Linked DNA regions of Tribolium castaneum. The protein of the gene in region 1 purifies or fractionates together with the protein of each later gene. This does not show direct contact. Links are inferred from orthologs where the notes say so. Each region holds a gene or a part of one and is shown on either strand. Other genes may lie near its edges.

Region 1 (3,978 bases):
CCTCCGTACGAAGCCGTGCGATTACTGGCAGCCGCTGCCGTTTGTCTACTAACTCTGATTAATTGCTACAACGTCAAGTGGGTGACACGGGTCCAAGACATCTTCACCGCCACCAAAATCTTCGCCCTGTGCATTATCGTGGCAGCTGGAGCGTACTACTTATGCATTGGTCACGTCGAGCATTTCAGGGACCCCATGGAAGGGACCAACTGGCAGCCCGGGTACATTGCCTTGGCCTTTTATTCCGGCCTGTTCTCCTACTCGGGCTGGAATTACCTCAACTATGTTACCGAAGAACTGAAAGATCCCTACAAGTGGGTTTTATTATCCCTAACACAGCTATGTTTATTATCATTGTTTTTGTTCCAGGAACCTTCCTCGCGCAATTTGTATATCGATGCCAGTGGTCACCGTCATTTACGTTGTGACAAACCTTGCGTACTTTGTTGTCTTGAGCAGGGATGATATTCTGGCGTCAGATGCAGTTGCTGTTACTTTTGGTGATAAGTTACTGGGCGCGTTTTCGTTTTTCATTCCGTTTTTCGTGGCTTGTTCCACGTTTGGTTCGTTAAACGGTGCTATTTTTGCATCGTCACGCCTTTTCTTCGTGGGGGCTCGTGCTGGACACTTGCCACGAGCTATCGCACTCATTGATGTGAAAAGACTGACCCCTGTACCATCTCTAATTTTTATGGTAACCATAATTCCGTAATAAAACACTAATTTTACATTAATTGTATTTACAGTGCATCATTACGCTAGCCCTTGTAATGATTGAAGATGTGTACGTTCTTATTAACTACGTTTCGTTCGTTGAGGCCCTTTTTATCACGATAAGTGTGACGGGGCTGCTGTATATGAGGTGGAAGAGGCCCGATATGCACCGGCCGATTAAAATCAGTTTTATTCTTCCTGTAATATTTTTGTTAATTTGTGGCTTCCTTGTCATTTTTCCCTGTTATGTTAGTCCCCTGGAGGTAGGGGTAGGTTTAGGTTTCATTTTTTGCGGAATTCCTGTTTATTTAGTTACGATCGCTTGGAAGAATAAACCAGATTGGTTGAATAAAATTTTCAACGAGTTTAACAACGGCTGCGCCAAACTCTTCCTGTGTGTTACGGAATACGAAGACAAGGAGTCCTAAAGTTAGACATATGATATGTAAAAATGATCTAAATAGTATTAATTGTTTTCGAATGCTTTGACACAAGAAATATTTATTTGTATATTACTATTCATTAAACATGTTTTGTAAGATGTTTTTTTCCATAAATTAAATTCAAAAAAAGGACAGTTCCTCCAACCACACCGCGATAAAATCCCAATTGAACTAACCTAAATCGATGGTGGCGCTCTCAATGAGACAACTTTTATCAAAATTAAATAGAATCCTCTCGTAATCATCGACAATTTTTCCGTTTATTAAACTAGTTCAAAAATTCGGGTTCGGGAAGTCCTTTTCCGCCCCGTATTAATTTTTCCCAGTTTTTAACGTGACAGTTGACTTGTGCGCACTCTATGGTCATTCGTCAGTTGGTGTGATTTGTGGTGTTTTAGGATAAGCCCAACCCAAAAATTCTAGGAATATAAAAATAAAGGTTTATTGTACATTTATAGGACGTTCAAGCTGAATAGGTAATCCCCCTAATCTCGTTTTTACTAGCGTTAAAATAGCTTAGTGGTATCAACTGGTTGAAAAAATGACGCCAACAACTCAAAATGGCAGATCATTATGATTGATATCCTTATTCCTGGAACAATTCGGGCGTTTGTGTTAATTTGCTGCTTTTTGAACGCCGCTCGTGACTTAAAACCGTTCCTAGCCTCGTGGAGAGCGAAGGAACGCCATTGTCAATTCTCGGAAGTGTTCCGTGTCCTAATAATTAATTGTTGTTACAGCAAGGACGAAGAATGCAAACAATTAAATGTGTGGTGGTGGGTGACGGCGCAGTGGGTAAAACCTGCCTCCTGATAAGGTAACAGCTCCTGTTTGGTCTGTTTGAGGTGGTAATGGTTTGTTTCAGTTACACTACTAACAAATTCCCATCGGAATATGTGCCCACAGTCTTTGATAACTATGCGGTCACTGTCATGATAGGGGGCGAGCCCTACACATTGGGGCTGTTCGATACTGCAGGACAAGAAGATTACGATCGATTGCGACCTCTTAGTTATCCCCAGACTGACGTTTTCTTAGTGTGCTTTTCTGTAGTGAGTCCGTCCTCGTTTGAAAATGTTAAGGAAAAAGTAAGTCACTTGAGTATGAGCCTCTTGTAACTCAATCGAAGTCCCACGTGTTTCTGCCAGAGCCGGTTCTAAAGCACGTGCTTTTTAGAACTTAAATAAACCGGAAAAATATCCGTACTTTCAATCTAAAGTATGACAAACATATCACTGTATAAATCATAACTAAATAAATAAAAACAAGCGAACAGTAGTGAACAAATAGAATATAAAAAAACAAGTTTGTTAAGACAAGTTTTAAGGCAATTTTTGTAAAGCCCTGGGCTATTTTAAAAAATGTGTGCTACCATATAACTATAGGTCGTTATCCAACGAGCGTATGCGAGTGCATAGACACCCGAGAAAAAGGTAAAGTAAATTGTAAACAAAATTTGATGAAACAATCTCGTTTTGTTAACTGGAGAACCACTTCCTCTAACAACCACAAAGATAAGTTTAAATGGCTTTTTTCTCACACGTTTTTTCCACGATTCTCATTTTGCTATTTAAATTATCATCGTATCATTAGTTAAATATATGTTTTTGAAGTTATTTTTTTAATTAATAAACTGGGAAGTATTGGAGCACTGATGCTCGTTAGTTTTTCCAACGATGTTAAGAAATGCTCGCTTTGCTTTCAGTGGGTCCCCGAAATAACTCATCATTGTCAGAAGACGCCGTTCCTGTTAGTCGGAACGCAGGTCGATTTACGCGATGATGGTGCTACGATTGAAAAGTTGGCGAAAAACAAACAGAAGCCGATATCAGTGGAACAGGGAGAAAAGTTAGCTAAAGAATTAAAAGCGGTCAAATATGTCGAGTGTTCGGCTTTAACGCAAAAAGGTCTGAAAAATGTTTTCGATGAAGCTATTCTAGCCGCGTTGGAACCACCAGAACCAATTAAACGTAAAAAGTGTGTTATTTTGTAATCAGTAATTCAACCCGATTGGAATACTACAATTTTTATACTAGTTAAGGACAAAATTATATATTTATTTTATTTTTTTTTTGTTAACAGTTTAAATATTAAAAACAATTGTATGGTATATAACTTCTTCCATTTATTGAAGCTCAAACGACACTCGAGATCATTACTTCTTCTTATGTAAAGGCTTTTAGGAACAAGTCAGTATTACATCCAAATGGCTTCAAGGACTGCGAATTTACCACTTTCGTAACTTTTGTGTTTTTCTAACATTTTGTTATGTTCTTTCGGCAATAATTTGCATAACGTAAATAAATCATTTATTATATAAGACTGTTGTTTGGCTGAGAAACCTACCACCAGATTTTAATAAAACTAGTTTATTCAATTAATTAAGACTCACATGGTCGACATATACATAATAACAGACGTAAATTAAATATGTATGTGTGTGCACAAACGGATATATAGTGCGATTCCAAAGGGGCGTTTGAATTTACATTAGCCAATAAGGGCCGTTTACTGTCACCGACCCATAAAATATTAAAATTTCCGTAATAAATAACCGAAGAATAAAATTGACTATCAGCCGACCCCGAATCGTTAAACCGCACTATACATTTTTACGAACAGTTATTTAAAAAACCGTTTACTGAAGGCTGGGACTGTCGGTGCCACTGCCACTGTTGTTCGAATTTTCGGCCGCTGAAGCGCTAACAAACTTATTTTTCTTGGCGCTTTTCGACAAACTCGCCACCTCCTTCAAGAGACTGGTGATGCGCTTATTCAGCGCCTCAATCTTGTCGTCGCATTCCTTCTGGCAATTTTTCAT
Region 2 (3,011 bases), on another chromosome or scaffold:
TTGTAATTTTCCCTTCAAGTAATAAAAAATCCATTGTTTTTTTTAGTGTTTTATTTTTGCGCGGTTGGCGTGTTGTTACTTTACATGCGCAGCGGAAGTGCTCAACTCGGCCATTTTGCGTAGAAGTTTGCAGGTGAGTTTTTTATTCAAAATAATTACACTTTTTGCTTAATTATTCAAAACAAGTCTCTCGATTGCTTCATTCAAACGTTGCGTTGTCGATAATTCCGTAAATAATGTCCCTTTCGATTTAAAATCGTTACATCAAGTTGTCTCTTGTCACTGGTGATTACCTAATCAATGTCAGTTTAAATCTTTGAACCCACGAAAAATCGCCAATTTGGGACGAAGCAGTGATTACGCGACTTTGCAGACGATGGCAGGGCGACTCTTGTGTATGAGGGCTTTGCCCGTGCAGAAGACACTCGGGAGGGCCTCCATGAGTGACATGCGATCCATTATTGGAAACAGGGAAATCGTTGGCTTTGGGTTCAACGGACAGCCGAATTACGCCGACCGCGTGGATTTCCCCTTGCCTGCCATCAGATGGAAGGAAAACACCCCCGATATTCAAGTAACAGGGTTAAACATTTTCTCATTCTTGTATTAACAAATTCGGTCCCAGGCCTTGCGCGAGAAGGAAAAGGGCGATTGGCGCAAGTTGACCATCGAGGAGAAAAAGGCCCTTTACAGGGCGTCCTTCTGCCAGACCTTTGCTGAGATGAAGGCACCAACAGGCGAATGGAAATCTATTGTCGGGATCTCGTTCGTGTTGGTGGCCATAGCGTTGTGGGGCTTCTACGGAATGAAAACCTTCGGTAAGGAGCAGGATTTGATTAGGTTGGTGCTAAGTAAGGTTTGCAGTGTACGCTCCTCTGCCTGAGAGTTTCAATGAAGAAAACAGGAGAGCTCAGCTCAGGCGTATCATCGATTTGCAGATTAACCCAGTCCAGGGACTTTCGTCCAAATGGGATTACGAAAAGGATGATTGGAAGAAATAAGTTAACTTAAATTTAAAATAATTTGAATGGGTTTTTTGTGACAGCCTAAGAATTCATTCATTTGTATTATAGTAAATTTAGCCCCGAAATTATTACATGGTGTAATAAAACTGTTCTTTTTATTATTTTTGTTTTTTTGTTAAAATTCATTACTTAGAAAATTCTACGGTTCACTTTACGTATTGTACGTAATTTTTGCCAATTAAAAAATTCATAACTTAAAAACTATTGAGAATTTGATGATTTTCTTGATGCCAATCGATTCCCCGGATCATTTTACATGACCAAGATTAAAATGGTGCCACATTTTTGAATAGTTTAGACGTAATTGAGAAAATAAAATTTTTTTGAAAATGGTCAACTGAGTGGTGTTGGCAGCAGTGTCGCTGCAGTGTTGGCAACGCCTTGTTTTGACGTGCCCGACCTTGATGGCGACTAGATAGAGGTTGTGTTCTCAGTGCTGTGTTCTTTGTAATTTTAGTCCATAGTTCCTTCTATATTTAGCTTAATAACATTTCATACTCTTGAGACGGGGGTGAGTAACGAATTGGCGACGTTGCCAAGCCGCTGGCCCACATAAAGACCGCAAACTTATCCTGTTTACATTGTCTCCGAGATCCTTATCTCAGTTTGGAAAAACACAATTTAAGCTACACAACGCTTTTAGATGGCTGCTGTGGGCGATTTGTGGGTGTCCTGGTTCAGTTGTTGCGTGCAGCAGCCCCAAAAACGGCGCATTCGAATCGACAGGTAACCCGCAACTGTGGCCAATTTTCCGTGAAAATGACTTTTCCAGATCAATGATTGGCTCCCCGACCAATTTCCAGCACACAGGCCACATCGGGAGCCGCGACGTGGAAATGCCCGGGGACCAGCTCGTGGCCCTCCAGAACCAAATGAAGAGCAAAGGCGGCTATGAGACAACGTACAAGGTGATTCAACATTTTTGCCAATGTGCGCTAATGAATGATTTTTTGCAGGACGTAAACTGGTGCCAATGATTTTGTTATTATTTATTGTGTGCAAGTGCGACTGTTTTATTTAAAGTATTAGGTCAAATGTGTGTAAATACGTGTATGTAAATAGGACTTCAGGTGGCAATATTTGTATGTATCGGAAACCGCATTTATTTGTATCATTGCCTTAGATAACGCACTCTAGGAATTTTCCATTTTATCATGTTGGTTGTTATCATTTTACAAATGGTGCTCTTGTTATCAGTTTTTTATTGATTTTTCGTAGCTAGTTGAGCCGTGCCAAAAATCTGACTAAGTTAGGTATTTTTTTAATTGAAACCAAAATTGATTGTGATTTTTTATTATACTACTGCGAGCAATAATTGCCTTTTAACCTCTTGCTGGAAATGACGTTTCCAACTCGCCTTAACGAATTGAAATATTTTTGCACAAACCTGTTAAAGCACAAGTATTATTCTTGATACTGTTATTGTACTTACTAGTGTAAATTTGTATCCGTGAATAAATTATTATTAGTTGAGTTTGCGTTTTTTTTAATATCCATATTAAACCACCCTCTCAACAATGGAATAAATGAATTATTGTAAAGCTCTTTTAATTAACTATCATTTTAAAAAGGATCATTGTTCTCCGAATCATAGTTTACGAGAAAATTTTAAATGAAAGAAAAAATAGGTGAAATATAAAAAAATTCATAACTAAAAAACTATCTGGAATTTGGTTATTTTCTCGATGCCACTCAATTCCCCTGATCATTTTACATAGGTTTACATCAAAATAATTCCACTTTTTCCAATAGTTTTGCAGTTTTTGTGTAAATTTTGGATCCGTGAATAAATTACACGAAATGTCGATAATAAAGGGAGCACACCTACCGGCTCCCAACTGTGGGAATAAATAACACAATTCGATTTTTACATTATTGTACTGTAAATTAAGCCCAAAAAACGGTATTTTTTTTCGAAAATTGTATAATTTAGTGCCGTTTTTGGGCTCAGCAGGGCGAAAAATGGGCCCGGTCTAGTGAATTTGC

Evidence for each region.
Region 2: the proteins of cdc42 homolog (region 1) and Spec2 purify together in Homo sapiens (affinity purification with mass spectrometry; 4 studies listed by BioGRID and IntAct, counting the BioPlex papers as one, with this or other methods). This does not show direct contact. The link is inferred for Tribolium castaneum from reciprocal best matches to the Homo sapiens genes CDC42 and CDC42SE2.

The regions. Positions count from the first base shown.
Region 1 is NC_087398.1:3,193,645-3,197,622, forward strand, and holds cdc42 homolog, read left to right. Parts: upstream 1-1,341; 5' UTR 1,342-1,633; intron 1,634-1,897; 5' UTR 1,898-1,909; coding exon 1,910-1,974; intron 1,975-2,022; coding exon 2,023-2,245; intron 2,246-2,862; coding exon 2,863-3,150; 3' UTR 3,151-3,477; downstream 3,478-3,978. Other genes in the region: mnd (Y+L amino acid transporter 2), read left to right, coding at 1-314, 370-694, 747-1,142; protein FAM76A, read right to left, coding at 3,796-3,978. UniProt on the Homo sapiens protein: Plasma membrane-associated small GTPase which cycles between an active GTP-bound and an inactive GDP-bound state. In active state binds to a variety of effector proteins to regulate cellular responses. Involved in epithelial cell polarization processes.
Region 2 is NC_087396.1:23,112,640-23,115,650, reverse strand, and holds Spec2 (CDC42 small effector protein homolog), read left to right. Parts: upstream 1-1,375; 5' UTR 1,376-1,536; intron 1,537-1,668; coding exon 1,669-1,751; intron 1,752-1,797; coding exon 1,798-1,933; intron 1,934-1,981; coding exon 1,982-2,002; 3' UTR 2,003-2,498; downstream 2,499-3,011. Other genes in the region: Cox4 (cytochrome c oxidase subunit IV), read left to right, coding at 377-574, 626-818, 865-1,001. UniProt on the Homo sapiens protein: Probably involved in the organization of the actin cytoskeleton by acting downstream of CDC42, inducing actin filament assembly. Alters CDC42-induced cell shape changes.